Linked DNA regions of Stegostoma tigrinum. The protein of the gene in region 1 interacts with the protein of each later gene in a biochemical or structural test. Links are inferred from orthologs where the notes say so. Each region holds a gene or a part of one and is shown in the gene's direction. Other genes may lie near its edges. The genes, in order: fermt2 and ilk.

Region 1 (10,404 bases):
AGCTAAGCCACTCTTCCAGCCTTCTTTAAATGATCACAAATTCTTCCAACTAAATATGATCTCACACATCTGTTTCTGGTCTGGTCAACAATATTGAATCCCTACAGTGTGGAAAGAGGCCATTTTGCCCATTGGGTCTATACCGATCCTCCAAAGAGCATCCCAATCTGACCCATATCCCTACTCTATCCCCATAACCCTGCATTTGCCCTGGCTAATCCATTTAGCTTACATATCCCCGGACACTATGTGCAATTTAGCATGGCCAATTCATCTAACTGGCATATGTTTGGGCTGTGGGAGGAAACCGGAGTACCTAGAGGAAATCCATGCAGACATGGGTAGAACATGCAAACTCCACATAGACAGTCACCTGAGGTTAGAATCAAACCTGGGTCCCTACTGCAGCGAGGCAGCAGTGCTAACCACTGAGCCACTGTGCCACCCTATATAGCCAGCATTTTCTCTGCTTCAGGATCAGGACTGAATTCCTCAATCTCCACTTTCTGCATCTCTGATAGGTGCAGACAAAATTGCTGTCTGTAATTATCCTGTATTAGGAGGGAAGCCCTTAGCCTGATATTGAAAATGGCTTCCTCTGCCCTTTTATCCTATGGCAATCTGAATAGTTTATATCCAAATTGAATTGCTAATCAGCTCGCTTTGATCCCAACTCCTCTTCATTTTGGAAGTAAAAGTAGATGTTAAATGAATAGTGAGAGAGTCACAGTGGTACTATCACTGAACTATCATCTACAGACCCAGGAAATCTGCCATTCTTACTAGGTCTGCAATGCATAACATTCAATGTTCACAGCCTTGGTTCAGATATATACAAAAGACCTGAAGACCAGAGCCGGGGAGAGATTGATTGCCTTTGACATCCAGGCCCTATTTGACTGAGTATGGCATCAAGGAATCCTAGCAAAACTCAAGGTAATGGAAATTGGGGGGGATGGGTGAAAATATTCCATTGGGTGGAGTTAAATCTCGCACAAAGGAAGATGGTTGTGGTTGCTAGGAGGTCAGTCATCACAGGTCGAAGATCAGCACAGGAGTTCCTCAGGGTAGTGTTATAGGCTCAATCATCTTCAGTTGCTCCATCAATGGCTTTCCTTCTATTATTAGGTCAGGAGAAGGAATGTTTGCTGGTAATTGCATGATGTTCAGGATTATTTCTGACTCTTCCAAAACTGTAATAGACCATGTTCAAGTGCAGGAAGACCCAGACAATGTTCAAGCTTGGACTCAAAAGTGACAATTAATATCTGTTTTACACAACAGCCAGGAAATGATTATGTCCAACAACAGACAGTCTAATCATCAATCCTACATATTCAAAGGCATTACCATTACCAAATTCCCCACTATCAACATCCTGGGTGTTATCATTGACGAGAAACTGAACAGGACCAGCCACATAAATACTGTGGCTGCAAGATCAGGTCAAGAGACTAGAAATCCTGCAGCAAGTAACTCAACTCCTCACTGACTGAAGCCTGTCCACCATCTACAAGGCACAAAGCAGGGATATAATGAAACAGTTCCCACCCACAGTCAGTTCTGCTATAACGCAATAGATGCATTCCTATGCAACATCTCACTATAGAAAATCACGCTGTAGTAATGACAGGGCCTATGGGTAAAACAGCTCTATAGGCAGACCACCTAAAAAAATTACTCAAAATCATTCAAAAAAACTCAAAAGCCTAACACAAAGGATAGAACAGTTTGAATAAATGTTTGGTTCATATCTAATGATGAAATAAAAGCAAATTTAACACCTTACCTTGAGAAAATGTTTCCTCTGGAGTTCAGACAAATGAGGGGGGATCTCATAAGAACTTATAAAATTCTGACAGGACTGGACATAGTAGGTGCAGGGAGGATGTTTCTGATGGTGGGTGTGTCCAGAACCAGGGGTCACAGTATGAGGATTCAGGGTAGACCATTTAAGATGGAGATGAGGAGACATTTCTTCACCCCAAAGAGTGCTGAGCCTGTGAAATTCATTACCACGGGGTGTAGTTGATGCCAAAACATTGAATGCATTCAAGGGGTTACTAGATATAGAACTTGGAGCAAATGGGATCAAAGGTTATGGGGAGAAAGCAGGATTAGGCTGTTGAGTTGATCAGCCATGATCATGAAGAATGGTGGAGCAGGCTCAAAGGACCGAATGGCCTCCTCCTACTCCTATCTTCTATGTTTCTTTGTAAGATGACTTGATGGGGGGAGGAGGTTTTGAGGTTGCTTTGTTGTTAATGCAAGTGATAAGGGTCGTCATCGTCATCATCATCATCATCACCGTCAGGTACAATTGTGGTTGCAGGGTTAGGGCGAAAAATAGTTAATCCAGAAATGGATGGCTGTGATTCATTTTCTTCCGACTGTTTCATGAGTGTTCACTTAAAAAAAAGACAGACATCCAGTTTTTGCTGATTTGCCCTTTTTCTTCTTTCATGAAGAAACTGTTCATAGGGTGCCAAATAAGATCTTACTTCACAAACTGCTACCCTACTGTTCTGCATTCTAATCATTGTCCTCTAATCGTTGCAACTGCTTCTCAATTTCCCTCAGGATAGAAGTCAAAACAGAAGTGGACAATTCTCATGGTGCCGCATCCTGGACTACTTCTTCATCTCCAGCTTCCCCCTCACCTCAGCGACAAATTGTTGCAGATCAGCCGTAGAAAGTCGGAAAGTCACAGTCGGACTCAAGCAGCTCTTCAACATCCTCACTCTCCACCTCTTTAAATCCAACTTGCTTTGCAAGATCAGCACCATGTTCTTTGATTCATAGGAGCTCCTCTGACAGGTCAAAGCTTTTAAAATCTTGAAAAAAATCTACGAGAAGCATCCGCCAAACTGCATGCAAGCAGTTTTAACTGACATCAGCACAGGTTTGCATTCTTGACATCAAAACTCTTCCAAAATTGAACAGCACTGTCCTTATCCCCTTGAGTAACTGCAATCAGCCTCTTAAATGTGCACCTTAAATAATAAGCTTTAAAAGCTGCTATTGCAACCTGGTCCATGTGTTGAAGGAGAGCGGTTAAGTTTGGGCATAGAAAAGGCACTTCATGTTTCAGAAAACTCACCAATGGTGGGAGGATGGCTTGGTGCATTATCCAGAGTGAGGAGAATTTGTACCTCTCACAAAAAGTGCTTCACAACAAAGTTGCAAAATGATCGCATAATGCCAGCATGGAGACTCTTCTGGCACAAACATTGTGCATGCTCAGGATAAAGCCAGTGAAACAACCATGTGATGTTGACACAAATTCCTCAGTGCACCAATGGAATTGTGCTATAGCCGACACAAGTTTGTGAGTTGTGTTATAGCCAATTTGTGTTGCTGGAACAAGGCGTTATAGCTGAACTGACTGTACCTGGATAAGTGCAGCTTCAACAACACTGACAAAGCTTGATTCCATCCAGTACAAAGCCCACCTGTTTAGCACTAGGTCCTCAAACATTCACTCCCTCCACCACCAATGCAGAAAAGCAGCAGTATGTACAACCTACAAGATGCACTGCAGAAATTCACCAAGGCTCTTCAGACAGCACCTTCGAAACCTAAACCATAGAACATAGAACATAGAACAGTACAGCACAGAACAGGCCCTTCAGCCAATGCTGTTGTGCCGACCATTGATCCTCATGTATGCACCCTCAAATTTCTGTGACCATATGCATGTCCAGCAGTCTCTTAAATGACCCCAATGACCTTGCTTCCACAACTGCTGCTGGCAACGCATTCCATGCTCTCACAACTGTCTGTGTAAAGAACCCGCCTCTGACATCCCCTCTATACTTTCCTCCAACCAGCTTAAAACTATGACCCCTCGTGCTAGCCATTTCTGCCCTGCTCGAGAAAGGTCATGGCTGCAGACGCATAAAAATGTCACCAGCTGCAAATTTCCCTGCCAGCCATTCACCAACCTGACGTAGAAACATTACCCTGTTCTATCACTGTTGCTGGGTCAAAATTCTGGAATTCCCCCTAATAGTAGAGAACATACTTATACCAAATAGAGTCATAGATTCATACAGCATGGAAACAGACTCTTCATCCAAGTAATCCATGCCAACCATGTTCCCAAAATAGACTGTAGAGATTCAGGAAGACAGCTCATAACCACCTTCTCAACAGCAACTAAGGATGAGCAATAAATGCTGGCCCTGTTAGCAAAGTTCACATCTCCTGAATAAAACTTGATAACTTACAGAGACTACAGTAAAAGATGCTTTTGTTTCTGAACCCAAGTATTTTGTATCTTCATCCTAGTAAAATAATCGGACTCCTCTATTGATGTCCAACAATCAAACCATCCAGATTTAAGGCAACAAAAACAGAAATTGCTGGAGAGGAGTGTCAACACCTGTGGAAATAAAGCAGAGTTAATGTTTAGAGTCCATTTCAGAACAGATTTACTATCAAGTAGATGGCAGAACAGGCCAAACAACACCCTTCATTTACAATAAATTTAAAGAAAAACTCAAAAATACAATAAAATTATAAACCAAAAGATGTATTTGAATGAACCTCACAATAGTAATGAAAACCAATAAAATGAAAAAGGGAATAACTTGGAATTAATGTAAATACAATTTAATGAATAAATACTTATGCTTGTACATAGTATTTGTTATTTCTAAACTTGACTGTTTCATTCCTATCCTAACTGGCCTCACCACTGCATCTCTGCAATGTTTTGGAATCATTGTGTTGCTCTAACTCTGGTTAGTTGGGCATTCTGATTTTAATTGCCCCAGTACTGGTAGCAGTACCATCAAATGTTGAGGTCTAAAACTCTGCCTCTCCCTTTTGCAAGACACTCTCAAAACCTTCTTCTATGATAAAGCTTTTGGTTGGTTGTACTACTCTCTCCTGATGTGACATGTTTTGAAATTCTATTTGATAATGATCCTGTCACTCACCTTTGGATGTTTTACTCTGTGAAAGATGCTACTCAAATAAAAATCCGTAAACATACAAATACTCAAGGTTTACCCAATTAAGCAGAAATTGGGTGCTTTTTTCAGAGGATTGTGATATTTTGGGATGATTCTTTATGGAGAGATGGAAAGCAGTGTCTTTCAATATTTTTAAGGCAGAGGTGGATAGATTTGTGTTAAACAAAAGAGTGTCAGGGATAGACAGGAATGCGAATTTGAGTTTACAATCAGAACAGTCATGATCTTATGGGAAGATGGAATAGGGTGAAGGGGCTGAATGGCCAGTCCTGCTCCGTTGGTATGCTCATAAAACTGTATTTATATCATCGAATGGGCCATCACATCTCCCTGCTGAACAAAATTACACCCGCTTAGGTTAATTCCATCTGCATTACATGTGTGCGCTCAAAAAGTTGGCTCTACGTACGGCAACGCCAAATAATGAGCCGGACACCGGAGGGGAAGAAAGAGAAATGGGGAATTTTTTTTCACCAAAAAGTGCAGGAGTGGAAAACGTTCGTGGTGGAGGCTGTGAAAGTGTGCGTGAGGCTCCCGAGCACCTACAGTGGCGATGGGGCTTCGCCGCGCACGACGGGCCGTAAGTGCTAACGGGAATGCGGTCTCCGGGATCAATGTGGAGCCCGAGTCCCGGATGTGCGGCGCTGCTTCTCCTCATTTCCATAAAAGGCAGCGGAGGCTCGGCTTGGGCTCGAGCTGGATCCCCAGTGCGGGGGGAGGGGCGTTGTGGCCGCCGAGGGGTTGGGAGGGAGGGGGCGGTACTAGTACTACCGCCTGCCCGCCCTCCACGGCCACTCACACACAGAGACATGGACAGCGGGCTGTGACCGCCGTAGACAGATTGAATTTTACGGCGACTCGGAGAAGACGCTGAGACAGAGGGGGCGGAAAAAAAAAATCCCAGGATTGACTCCATTAACTGTCCATCCAACGGCCGCCAGCTTGGACCCTCTTCTTTCTCCGCGCCTGTGGGAAAGCTGTTTAAACTGTATTTTTCCCCCCAACCTCTTTCTTCCCCCCCCCCCGTCCCTTCCCCCGCCGATATTGCTGGGCTGTCGCCAACGTTTACTTTCAGTGGATCCTTCGGAGGTAATTTTGGCTTTAATGTTAATATTGTTTTTCGGATTATAACCCCGGGTATAACTGCTGCCGAGTTTAAACCCCTCGCCATCTCTGCCACAGTTTAGAAACCCGGCCTGCATTCAGTTCTGGTGGACTGTGGTCCGGCACGGCTGTGGAGGAGGTTAGTTTTTCTTTGATAATTTGTATTTTTTTGTCGTTTTTTTATGGTTTATGTGGAGGAAAGTGTGCGTCGAGGAGGAGGAGGGTTGGGTGAATTTGCATTGAAGCGCTGTCCTTTACCGTGTAGATCGAGTGACAGACGGGGAGGGGTCTGACACGATGGGGCTTCAGATGGAGGATGGTTGAGGTGGTGGGGGTGGGAGAGAAACGGAAAGAGACGCCCAGGGGGTTTGCATTGTCTCGCAGATGGTCTTCGAAGCCCCTTTCCCTCGCTCGTGTTGCTCTCTATCCTGCCTACTTTTTTTAAAATATAAAAATCCGTTTCAGATTGTGAGTTGCGCGGTCATAAATCAGTCATTGTAAAGTTTGTCGCCGCACTCTGTGAGCAATAGAAATCGTGAAGCCTCGTTTTGTTCTAAAGAATGTGCAACTTTTAAAGAAAAATGTGTGTAAAACCGATTTCAACAAGTTTGCAATACTGCTGTGAATATCAAACTGTAATTTGAAGCCCTATAACGGAAAATGCGTGGCCCACTCCTTGCACTTACTTCGTACGTGCAAAGACCGTCAATTGGACTTGATCTTTGTATCTACTGTGACTCCTGTTACTGCTTTCAATGTGCATTGGCTGCAAGGTCTGTGTAGTTGCACCTCGTGCTGTGCTGTCACCATATCAGTAAATGACATCGTCCGCTTCTTTCAACAGCCGAACGTTTAATGTTGCCGTTTGGTTCATTTAACTCTTTCACTGCCCCCCCCCCCCAGGTAAAAGATGGCGTTGGACGGGATTCGGATGCCGGATGGCTGTTACGCTGATGGGACGTGGGAATTAAATGTTCTTGTGACCGACCTAAACCGCGATGTTTCTCTCCGAGTGACCGGAGAGGTGCATATAGGAGGAGTGATGCTCAAGCTGGTGGAGAAACTGGGTAAAGTCCTGATTTTAATGGGTGTGCCGTCGCCTACTTTTGCTAATTCCCGCCCTTCCCCAGCCCAAAAAGCATGGATGCTTCGACATCGCGATTACCCGATGCCATGTATGGGTTCAAGTTTAGACCGAGTGATGCGTTGGCTCTGCTGAGAAAGAATTTCGCAATGATATGCCAAACCCCAGTTTTCCTTTCTAACTGCTGTGGGGACTGAGTTATGTTGAACTTCACTGGGATATTCCTTCTGATCGTACAAATAAACACCTATGTTTATTTTAAGACGTCTTTGTCTATTGGTTTCAGGATCGATACTACAATGTTGCGTGAATCGGTTCAGAGACTTCGATCCACCAAAGTAAAGAATAGGAATTTGTAAAGTACCAGTAGATGTAGCATGAAGGTTTGCACAAGAATATCGCTAATCTTCAATGAATTGAAGTAGTGAATGTCTTTCAGAGGCTGCATTCGTCACTGGAAGATAAAACTCTGGCTAGAGAGAAATTAAATTCTTAATTAATATGTTCTACTCTTAACTGTGTAACTAATGGTATATCACAAGGAGTTTGAAAGGGACACAGCTTTTATTATTCAGTGTTTAATTTTCTATTATGGTGTATGTTCCAAGGTCTAACTTCAATTAAAGCTCAAAGCAGACAGTTTTCTGTTTCTTTTCAGTATTCTAACCAGTTTTTCCTCACCACAGGCCTTTCTGTTACGTTCCTGAACCATAAGATAGTTATCATGACTAATTAATGAAGCTTTGTTTGAAATATCAACACTTTACGTAGTGCCCATGACAATGTGGTGACCCTAAGTTCTTAAGAGTAGTAGAAAGGAATATTTGACTCGGAGCTCATAGGGTGGATGGCCAAAGATTTAGTTGAATAGGTACATTTTTAGGGAGAAAGGAGATAAGGAGGGAATTCCACAGCTTGGGCCTTGACACCTGATGCCCAGGCACTAACGATGGAGCAGTTTAAAATTGGATGCTGAAGAGACCTGAATTAGATGAATACCGGTATTTTGGAAAGTTGCAGGGCTGGAGGAGATTGGTGAGGCCATAGATTGAAAACAAGGAAGAGAATTAAAATAATGCCAATTTTAAATAGAAGTATTGCTTGCCTGGATGTTATAGATCAGTGCCGACAAGAGTAATGGGTGAACAGAACTGCATATGTCAAGATGCACGTGGCAAAATGTATAGCCTGTGTTTTCTGGAGGGTATGTGGGAGGCCAGCCACCATGTAGTTGAAGCAGTCATTGTCTAGATGTCATAATGCCATCGATCAGTTTTTAGCAGCAAGTGAGCTGATGCAGGTGAGGAGTTGAGGTGTTACGGAGATGAAAATAGATCTACTGCCAAGAATGTGTGGTTGGAACATCATCTCTGGGTTAGATGTGACCACAACGCTGCAGTCTGGCTCATTCTCAGAGTTGCATGTGAAATGAATGGAGTTTGTGGTGGATTCCAAACACAATGGCTTCCTTCACCATTCATTTGCCTCTTTTTATGTAAAATGGGTTTTTCCAAGGCTAGATTGCAAATGATTTTATTTTGCAAAACTTGGAATAGAAGCAGATGGATGTGAATAACAGAGATTAAATCTTTAAGGCAAATTTACTTCATAGGTATCAGTGAAAACTATTCTCTTTAGAACCTATTTGATTTATCTTTAAGGAGTGCTTGTACTATGTAAATAACGATCATAGATAAGCATTTGTAAAGAACAGGCACAAATCACTTTCTGTGAAGGACTGGAATGTCAAAAGGTTTTATCTGTGTAGAAATAGTTAACTTGTTTTAGCAGTACAAATGAGCAATTGACACAATTTGGATTGGAGATGCATATCTTAGAAGATATAAAGATGACCAATGCATCTCTCATGATAAGAATGGAAGGCTAAAGAGTTTGTCTGTCATGTGCCATGTATGATGAGCTATCCAGAACTAGTGACCAAGACGAGTGAGTTTATATAGCAATTCAGAAGGGTCATTGAGTTTGAGGTCTATCTGACTGATGATAATGTACAACACTTGGATATTTCTCTGTAATGCATATTTTCATAATGTGAGAGTTGACCAAAGATAATGTGATCAAAGGGGATGACCACAGCAAAATTAGATGGTGATGTAAGACAGTTTAAAGGACTAGACTTGTACAGGTGGCTCAGTGGTTAGCACTGCTGCCTCACAGCACCAGGTTCAACTGTCTGTATAGAGTTTGCACATTCTCCCCATGTCTGCGTGAGTTTGCTCTGTTTTCGTCCCACAGCCCAAAGATGTGCAGGTTAGGCAGATTGGCCATGCTAAATTGCCCATAGTGTTCAGAGATGTGCAGGCTAGGTAGATCAACATGTGAAATGCAGAGTTACTGGGGTAGGGTAGGGGTCGGGGTGATGGATGGTCTGGGCAGCATACTGTTGAGGGTTGGTGTGGACTCAGTGGGCCGAATAGCCTGTTTCCACACTGTAGGGATCCTATGTTTGTACAATATTCTTGACATTTGTCACACAGGAATGATAATTAGGAACTAAAACACTCCGATAAGGCTGTATTAAGTTAATTTGTCGTCTGGGACAATACTTACCTTGGAAATTGGGAAATTTCCTGAGTGTCTCCAGAATGCCATTTTATCAACCATCATTATTTTCTTGTAAAGTCCTGTGTTCTTTTAGTTGACCCAATCTACACCTGATGGATGATGTATAGTAGAGGATTTGATAAGAACATATAATTTGTTTCATATTTCAAACACCAGCCTAAAAAATATCATGGGGCTAGTGAAAAGTTTCCTGGGTTTAGGTGGGAGAACAGTTTATAAACTGTGGTTCACGTAGGATCCATTAGCTTGGAGAAGAATGGTGGAAAAGTGTTTGAGGAGTTGAGAAGTAGATTAACAAGTCATTGCTGTGGGAGTATTATTATGTTAGTTTGTTTTGACATTTTAAGCATGCTAATAGTAGTGCAACCAGTTTTTAAATAGGATGCTCAACATTACTTACTTTAAAAACTGATGTGTCAACCAATACTTCAGGAATATGTGTAGGATGTTGTAAATTTCCCCAAAGTTTTATAATGCATTTTGGAATAAGGAAAACAGTTTAGATGGTGAGCTTTGCCTGGCCTAACTGTTTGGTACCAGTTTCCTTGATAGAGCTCACAGATACAGTGGGAAATATGAGAGGAAAAGGATGGGTAAATGTTTGAGAAGGGCGAGAAGGAAAGCATTAAGTTGGACGTGTGGGAGAGAGCA
Region 2 (9,669 bases), on another chromosome or scaffold:
CCCCCCCTCCCCCCTCCCTCACCGACCCCCGTCCCTCCCTCCGTCCCCCGTCCTTCACACCCTCCCCCACCCCGTCCCCCGTCCCTCACACCCTCCCCCCACCCCCGTCCCCCGTCCCTCGTCCCTCACACCCTCCCCCACCCCGTCCCCCGTCCCTCACACCCTCCCCCACCCCGTCCCCCGTCCCTCACACCCGCCGCCATCCCACCGCTCACTCTCACCCTCCCCCCTCCTCTCCCTCCCCCCCCCCAACACCTCCTCCCTACACCCTCCCTACCCTACTCTTCTCCGCCCCAGGTGCACGCTCCATTAACTTACTCTCTCCCCACCTCCTGTGGACCGAGTTCAAGCTGTAGCCACCACAAATCCGCCCCCCCAACACAACTGTAAAATTAAACAGAATCTTCACACAAATTCAAGACTATTTCCCCCCACCCCTGGGGGAAGGTCATCACAAATTATCAACTGCAGCCTCACCCGCTCCCCTTCACGCTGCTCAACGCTCACACCTTACCGAGAGGCCTCAGGCCTAAACCGAATCCCGCCGCTAACTGCGCCCCTACCGCCCGGGAAGCGCACACCCCACATCCCCAAAGGAAAGCCAGTACCAACAGCGCCCTCGCCGACCAGGAGGTGCAGCATCGGTGCCCTCTCTGACAGGAAGGTGTAATAGAAGCGACCCCTACGGCCGGGAGGAGCAACAGCATGCTCTGGCGAAGGTGATGATTACAATCTGTGCTGGGAGTGAGGAGTGGTGGCAGGAAGGCAGGGATAATGGGAACTGCAGATGCAGGGATAATGGGAACTGCAGATGCAGGGATAATGGGAACTGCAGATGCTGGAGAATCCGAGTTCAGGGGTTTGTGTCTGACACATTTTCAATGAGCTGCCACCATGTTCAGACCATCTTTGTGATATCCCTTTGATAACAAGGTTTGGAGCTGAATGAGCACAGCAGGCCAAGCAGGAAAGCTGACGTTTTGGGCCTAAACCCTTCGTCAGAAATGGGAGAGGGGAAGGTTGTTCTGAAATAAATAGGGAGAGAGGGGGAGGCGGATTGAAGATGGATAGAGGAGAAGATAGGTGGAGAGGAGACAGACAAGTCAAAGGGGCGGGGATGGAGCCAGTAAAGGTGAGTATAGGTGGGGAGGTAGGGAGGGGATAGGTCAGTCCGGGGAGAACAGACACGTCAAGGAGGCAGGATGAGGTTAGTAGGTAGGAAATTGAGGTGGGAGGAGGGGATAGGTGAGAGGAAAAACAGGTTAGGGAGGTGGGGTCAAGCTGGGCTCCCAACTATCCCCTCCTCCAACCTGAAGCCGTACCTCAACGCTTCCTGCCTACTAACCTCATCCCGCTCCCTGGACTGACATATCCCCTCCCTAACTCCTTACTTTACCCACCTCTTTGACCTGTCTGTCTCCTCTCCACTTATCTTCTCCTCTATCTATCTTCTGTCTGCCTCCCCCATCTCCCTATTTATTTCAGAACTCCCTTCCCCTCCCCCTTTTCTGATGAAGGGTCTAGACCCGAAATGTCAGCTTTCCTGCTCCTCTGATGCTGCTTGGCCTGCTGTGTTCATCCAGCTCTACACCTTGTTATCTCAGATTCTCCAGCATCTGCAGTTCCTACTATCTTTGTGATATCCCTGGCACCAGAGAAGTTAGAACCATGCTGCTTCCCTGGTGTTCGCTGTTGTTTCCATTTCTGAAGAAGGATCACCAGACCCAAAAAGTTAACTGATTTCCCTCTCTAGATGCAGCCAGACCTGCTGAGCTTTTCCAGCAACTTCTGTTTATGTTCCTGATTTACAGCATCCACTGTTCTTTTCGTTTTTCTATTTAACCCTTGAGTCCATCACTGATTAAAGGTCTTTTTTATTGTTGATTATGCCTAATGACCTAGCCTCTAAAGCCAAGTGCATAAAGAATTCAGAGATTCGCGTTTAGATGAGAGAAGAAATTCCTTGTCATCTCTATTTTAAGTAGGTGGCGCCTTTTGTCAGATTTTGCCCTCTATATATATATTCTCCCATAGTTCCCACAGTTTAACATCTGTGTCTCATTCTGCTTTGGCTGATCTCAGAAACCACTATTCTCTGCAAAGCATCATTGTCACGGTCAGATTGTTGTTGAATTTGAGGTTAATGACTCCTCAACATCTCTTCCTCCTCAGGCACCTTGGGAAATTTGAGATGTCTGTAAGGGCCCTCAGCAACTTCTACAGATGCACCATAGAAAGTATACAATCCAGGTATTTAATGGCCTGGTATAGCAACTGTGTTGCCCAGGACCATAAGAAACTACAGAAAGTGATGCGCACACCCCAGACCATCATGGAAGGCAACATCCCATCCGTGGACTCTATTTACATGGCTCGCTGCCACAGAAAGGCTGCTAACATTATCAAAGACACTTCCCACTTGGTAATGCTATCTCCCAACTTGTTCCATTAGGCAGAAAATACAAAAGCTTGAACACATGGACCAACAGCTTCCTCCCTGCCATGGAGATGGTAAGGGACTGCAGACACTGGAAGCATGAGTAAATAAATGTGGAGCTGGAAAAGCACAGCAGGTGAGACAACATCCGAGGAGCAGGAAAGTCTGTGTTTGGTTTCTCCGATATAGAGGGGACTGCGTGGGGAGTACCGAATACAATAGATGAGGTTTGATGAAGCGAATCTGTGGCAGATTTGGAAGGATTGTTTGTGGCCTTGGACAGACTTGAGGGGGGAGGTGTTGGGGCAGGTGTAGCACCTCCTGTGGTTGCAGAGAAAGGTACCAGGTGTGGTGGAGGGGTTGGTGGGGAGTGTGGAGCTAATGAGGGAGTTGTGAGTGAGTAGTCCCTGAGGAAAGCAGACATGGTTGGGAAGAAAAACATCTTTTTTGTGATAGTGTCTGATAGTAGGTGTTGGAAATGTCGGGGGATGATGCATTGTATATGGATATTGGTGGGGTGGTATGAGAGGGCTAAGCGGGCTCTATTCTTATTGTTGTGGGGGGAGAAGGTTGAGGGCAGAAGTGAGGAAATGGAGATGCAGTGAGGACTTCCTTAATAACGGAGGAGGGGAAATTACAATCTCTAAAGTAGGAAGATATCCGGGAAGTCCGAGAGTAGAATACTTCACCCTGGGAGCCGCGATAGAGGAATTGAATATAGGATAGCATTTTGGCAGGAGGGTAGCTGAGAGGAGGTGTATTTGAGGTAATTGTTGGAGTCATTTGGGTTTGAAGTGGATGCCAGTGGAGAGTCGGTTATCTGAGATGGCGATGGAGATGGGAGGGAGATGTCAGAAATGGTCCAGGTGAGTTTGAAGGTACGCTGGAAGGTGTTGGCAGAGTTGATGTACTAATCAAGCTTGCAAGCATACAAGGCAGCACTGATAGTCATCAGTATCACAGAGAAAGAGCTGAGGGATTTAGCGGTTATGGTTGTTGAAGAGGGGCTGTTTTACGAATCTTACAAAAAGGCAAGTATAGTTCGGGTCTGAGTGGGTGCCTGTGGCCACCCCTTTGTTTTGTAGGAAGTGGGAGGAATCAAAGGAGAAGTTGTTGAGGGAAAAGACCAGTTCCACCAAGTGAATGAGTGTGTCAGTGGAGTGGAACTGGTTGGGCTTACGGGAGAGAAAGAAGCAGAGGGATTTTTGGCCATCCCTGTGTGGGATACAGGTATCCAGGGACTGAACGTCCATAATGAAGACGGTGGTGCTGGCTCGAAGGGCCGAATGGCCTGCTCCTGCACCTCTTGTCTATTGACGTGTTTAAGGCTGGAAATAGAAAGTTTTCAAATAAGTGGAAGGTGTGGGTTGTGTCCTAAATGTAGATGGGGAGTTCCTGGACCAAAGGGGAAAGAACAGATTTGAGGTTGGTGAAGGTGACCTCAATGGGGCAGGAGCAGGCAGACGGGTTTCAGGATTTGGGTAGGAGATAGAAGTGGGCAATGCAGTGTTGGAGAACTATCAGACTGGAGACTATGCACGGGAAATCTCCCGAGGTGATGAAGTTGTCGACGGTCTGGGTGATGATGGCTTGGTGATTAGAGGTAGAGTAGTGATTCCCTGGCATTGTTAGGCAGCTGAATGTATCTCTCTAATTTAAATCTAATGTTGACCTTGCTCCTCTGCAGCCATAACCTAATGCCTCGCTCTGTCTAAGCGTCCTATGATCTGTAGGAGAGAGATAATGGGAACTGCAGATGCTGGAGAATTCCAAGATAATAAAATGTGAGGCTGGATGAACACAGCAGGCCAAGCAGCATCTCAGGAGCACAAAAGCTGACGTTTCGGGCCTAGACCCTTCATCAGAGCTCTGATGAAGGGTCTAGGCCCGAAACGTCAGCTTTTGTGCTCCTGAGATGCTGCTTGGCCTGCTGTGTTCATCCAGCCTCACATTTTATTATCTATGATCTGTAGGTCCTGGTTTGCTCCGATCTGCTTGCAAATCAAAGCTTTTCACTGTACTTAGGTACATGTGACTACAATAAATCAAAATCGGGGGTCTCCTGCAGTGCCATAATGATGCCACCAGAAGGTTGCAGGAACAGCAACTCACATTCAGCTTGGGAACCCTGCAGCCCAATGGTATCAATGGGGATTTCACCAGCTTCAAAATCTCCCCTTCCCCAATGCATCCCAAAACCAGCCCAGCTTGTCCCCACCCCCCACTGCATCCCAAAAACCAGCCCAGTTCATCCCCACCTCCCTAACCTGTTCTTCCTCTCACCTATCCCCTCCTCCCACCTCAAGCTACACCTCCATTTCCCACCTACTAACCTCATCCCACCTCCTTGACCTGTCCGTCTTCCCTGGACTGACCTATCCCCTCTCTACCTCCCCACCTATACTGTCCTCTCCACCTATCTTCTTTACTCTCCATCTTCGGTCCGCCTCCCCCTCTCTCCCTATTTATTCCAGTTCCCTCTCCCCATCCCCCTCTCTGATGAAGGGTCCAGGCCCGAAACGTCAGCTTTTGTGCTCCTGAGATGCTGCTGGGCCTGCTGTGTTCATCCAGCCTCACATTTTGTTATCTTGGATTCTCCAGCATCTGCAGTTCCCAATATCTCTGATACCAATTGATGTGGATCGTCTCACCTGGGCGTGGGGGCGGGGCGTGGGGCGGAGTCGTACACCGGCGGATTGCGGTAGGCGGTTCCCGTTCCAGGGGCGTGGCCGTGCACCTTCAACGGGTATGGGGGCGGGACACCAGGAGGCGATGAAGGCGGTGATACGCATGCGCATTTCTCCAAAACGGCGGGCGGTGCCGTTACCGCTGCGCAGGCGCGGCTTCTCAAAGTTTCCTCGCTTTGGGGCGAACCTGAAAGAAACGGTGAGGATCCGGTTACCGAGGCAACGGGATTTGGGTGGAGTGCGTAACCTGGGTAACGGGGCTTGGGAGAGTGTAACCGGGGCAACGGGGTTGGGAGGGAATAACCAGAAGAACGGGGGGAGGCGGCGCCACGATTCCGAGTTTTGGCTCAGGACGGCATTGAGCCTCGGGTGGGGTGGGGCAGTTAGTTGGCACTCAGCCTGGGGGTGGGGGTGTGGGGTGAATGTGCTGGGTGGAGGGGGGTGTGGGAAACACTGATCCCTGGGGAGGGGGGTGTGGGAAACGCTGATCCCAGGGAGGGGGTGTGGGAAACACTGATCCCTGGGGAGGGGGATGTGGGAAACGCTGATCCCAGGGAGGGGGGTGTGGGAAACACTGATCCCTGGGGAGGGGGGTGTGGGAAACACTGATCCCAGGGGAGGGGGAGTGGGAAACACTGATCCCAGGGAGGGGGTGTGGGAAACACTGATCCCAGGGAGGGGGGTGTGGGAAACACTGATCCCTGGGGAGGGGGTGTGGGAAACACTGATCCCAGGGTAGGGGGGTGTGGGAAACACTGATCCCAGGGTAGGGGGGTGTGGGAAACACTGATCCCAGGGGAGGGGGTGTGGGAAACACTGATCCCAGGGAGGGGGTGTGAGAAACACTGATCCCTGGGGAGGGGGTGTGGGAAACACTGATCCCTGGGGAGGGGGGTGTGGGAAACACTGATCCCTGGGGAGGGGGGTGTGGGAAACACTGATCCCAGGGAGGGGGAGTGGGAAACACTGATCCCAGGGGAGGGGGTGTGGGAAACACTGATCCCTGGGGAGGGGGGTGTGGGAAACACTGATCCCTGGGGAGGGGGGTGTGGGAAACACTGATCCCAGGGAGGGGGTGTGGGAAACACTGATCCCTGGGGAGGGGGAGTGGGAAACACTGATCCCAGGGGAGGTGTGTTTGTGAGTGTGACGGGTGAATGTGCTGGGTGGAGGAGGGAGTGAGAAACACTGATCCCAGGGGTGGGGAGGTGGAACACTGATCGGGGATGGGGAGGCACGTGCGAGTGCGAGGGGTGAATGTGCTTGGGCGGGGGTATCAGAACACTGATTCTGGGTGTGGAGGTGTGTGCAAATGTTGGGAGTGAATGTGCCTGGGGGTATGGAATGGATTGTCAAATTCCTGAAATGGAGGTATGAGAGGACACTGATCTTCAGTTGTGGGTGTGGGCACTATACCTCAGGAGATATCAGGTGCACGGAGCCTGAGTGTGGGGAAGTTTAGGGTAAAGTCGGGTGTCTGAAGGAGCACTGAAGCAGGGATTGGGGGTTTGACAGCATCCAGCCTGCGAGTTGGGCGAGGTGGGGGGTAGGCACTGAGCCTTGCCAGGCTAGATGAATGATTCAGAGTGTGAGGGCCATTGAACCTGAGGGGGTGGGGGTACTGAGCCTTGGAGTAGTTGGGCTGAAGAGGCACTGAGCTTCGGAGGTATGGGGATATTTATTGGATTGGGCTTTCTCTGGTTTCCTTGATAGTGATGTAGTCCATTGTTTATGTTTTATAAGTATTTTCATTGATTGAGGTCTTTGTGTTTTTGCCATTAAACTTTAATCGGTATGAAATTTCTGCTAAAATTCAAAACAGCGCACCATTTTTGTTCCTTTATATGCATTTATTGTCCATCTGTAATAGCCACAGAGATGGTATTGATCTGCCTTCTTGTATTGCTATAGTCCTTGGGGTCTGGGACCACTCACGATGCTGTTTGGAACGCAGTATTTTGAACCTGTGACAGTGAAGGAATGGTGATACAGTACCAATTCAGAATGATGTGTGCAAAGGAAGTCTTAACAATGTACTTAGGAAAGTATAACTCAGTTATATCGAGTCAGTATGCTTCTGTGAAAGGGGAAATCCTGTTTGACAAATTGATCAGTTTTTTGATGCTGTGACGTAAATAAAAGGGAATCTGAATTTTGCTGAAAAGAAAGATATGTTGTTCATTCTCTTGTCTTGTTTGCTTTGCTCTTAGTAGAGAGGATCGTTTTCTCTCTTTCAAACCTTAATTTACAATCAATTTAAATCTCTCTCCATCATGAGCAACTTTTTTACACTGGGATTCTGCCTCTGTCAACAGCATAAAGAAGGATATTTTCCAACTCTTTTCAGAACTGAAGAAGTCATACTAGACTCGAAGCTTTAACTGTTTGCCCACAGATTCTGCCCAGCCTGTTGAGTTTCTTCAGTTTCTGTTTCTGTTTTCTGCAGTATTTTGCATAATATAGTTTTGCATTATATAATATTTTGTCTGATCTTTTCGCTTTGCTCTCAGGCCAAACACAAGGACAAGTTTTAAACAATGGTAACAATATATATGAACAAAAATGTGCTGACAATATACTGCACTGCCTATATTTGTACTAAAGCTGTCCTGTACTCACTGAGGCTCCCCAAATGCCTGGGTTGGACAACAGATCAATTGTTTTATACAGAAATAGTAGGAACTGCAGATGCTGGAGAATCTGAGATAACAAGGTGTAGAGCTGGATGAACACAGCAGGCCGAGCAGCATCAGAGGAGCGGGAAGGCTGATGTAGCGGACCTAGACCCTTCTTCAGAAAACTCGTTTTATACTGCTGTTTTACAGTGGCCATGCAAGTTGTATGTTCCATTAAAGGTTGCTACCATCAGATAAGTTTGAAATCTTCCACGTAATTCAGCAATGTCATGTATCCCAGGCACATAAGCCATATTCCTCAGGAATTTTGATTGTTTCATTCAGTGTCTTTTTGGGAAGGAAATTGCTGTATTTACCAGGTCAGGCCTATGTCTGGCTCCAGACCAATAATGTGGCTGATTCTTTGCTACCAAGGGCATTAAATGCAGTAAGGCTGACATTTCAAGCCTAGGGCCTTCTTCAGAAAAAGGACCTTTCTGAAGAAAGGCCTAGGCCCGAAACGTCATCCTTCCTGCTCCTCCTGATGTTGCTTGGCCTGCTGTATTCATCCAGCTCTGCACCTTGTTATCTCGGATTCTCCAGCATCTGCAGTTCCTACTATCTCTGCCCGAATATCTTCATTATTTAAATATAAGCAAGCTCAGAACATGATTCGTTCCGCTTCCTAGAAACGACATGCGCATATTTTCGCATGGACTCATCCTGTGCAAAGAACAGAAATGTGCTCAAGCTGTGTGTCCTTTTTAAATTGCCCCGGAGCTGGGAGCCTCTAGTTCCCTGTTACCTTCTCAATGGCAGTACCTCAGCCAATTACCGCCTATTATAGAAAGAGGCAACATCTGTCATAAGTGCTGCCCATAAAGTTGTCCCTTGCTCGTGGTGCAGGAGGATGCCTGCTGATGCTTTGTTAGCAAGATTGGTGACTGTTTTGGAGTGTCTGAAATCGTGGTGGTTGAGATGACACCTGGTGTTTTTGTTTACATTAGTCATCAGCCAGAGTTTCCCACATGTTAGGGTTGATTTTGAACCAGATCATTGTGCAACCTGTTAGTGTCTTGATATGCGCTCCCTCCCTGTATGGCAATTTACGCAGGAACAAAGCAGACCAGTCGGGCTCTGAAGCTTAGAGATAATGGGAACTGCAGATGCTGGAGAAAACTTTTCTGATGAAGAGTCTAGGCCCGAAACTTCAGCTTTTGTGCTCCTGAGATGCTGCTTGGCCTGCTGTGTTCATCCAGCCCCACACTTTGTTACCTCGGGTTCTCAAGCTTGATCTGCCATTTAGTGAGATCTGTGACTTAACTCCATATGCCTGTCTTTATGTGCCATAACCCTTAATACTGTTGTTCAACAAAAAACTGCCTATCTCTGATTTAAAATTAACTGATCTCCTATCAACTACAATTTATGGAAGAAAGTTCCAAATCTCTGCCACCCTTTGTTTGTAGAAGTGCTTTCTAACATCTCTCATGAATGGTCTGGCCCTGATTCTCATACGAGGCCTCCTAATTCTACAGTCTGCAACCAGAAATAGTTTATCTTCATCTAGTCTGTCTTTTCCTGTTAAAGACTTCTATCAGATTGTCCCTTAACTTTCTAAATTCTAAAGGAAACAGATTTAATTTGTATAATTGCTCCTGATAACTTAACCCCTGAAGTCTATTCTTGTAAACCGAAGTTGTACTCACTTCAGGCCAATATATCCTTCTTAAGGTCTGGTGCCCAGATTTGCTCACAGTAAACCAAGTGGGGTCTAACCAGGCTTTTGTATAACTGCAGCATAACTTCTGCATCCTCTAGATTATAAAGGCCAACATTGCTTGAGCTTTCTTGATGATTTTCTGTGGTATTTAACAGATATATACACGTGAAACGCAAAATTTCTTCAGGCATCGACTATATATTTAAT

Evidence for each region.
Region 2: the proteins of fermt2 (region 1) and ilk form a complex in vitro, tested with the Homo sapiens proteins (2 studies listed by BioGRID). The link is inferred for Stegostoma tigrinum from reciprocal best matches to the Homo sapiens genes FERMT2 and ILK.

The regions. Positions count from the first base shown.
Region 1 is NC_081363.1:46,420,601-46,431,004, reverse strand, and holds the start of fermt2 (fermitin family homolog 2), read left to right. Parts: upstream 1-5,728; 5' UTR 5,729-6,068; intron 6,069-6,110; exon of another isoform or gene 6,111-6,222; intron 6,223-6,533; exon of another isoform or gene 6,534-6,551; intron 6,552-6,646; exon of another isoform or gene 6,647-6,666; intron 6,667-6,836; exon of another isoform or gene 6,837-6,856; intron 6,857-6,986; 5' UTR 6,987-6,993; coding exon 6,994-7,150; intron 7,151-10,404. UniProt on the Homo sapiens protein: Scaffolding protein that enhances integrin activation mediated by TLN1 and/or TLN2, but activates integrins only weakly by itself. Binds to membranes enriched in phosphoinositides.
Region 2 is NC_081359.1:113,378,508-113,388,176, reverse strand, and holds the start of ilk (integrin-linked protein kinase), read left to right. Parts: upstream 1-5,214; 5' UTR 5,215-5,227; coding exon 5,228-5,323; intron 5,324-9,669. UniProt on the Homo sapiens protein: Scaffold protein which mediates protein-protein interactions during a range of cellular events including focal adhesion assembly, cell adhesion and cell migration.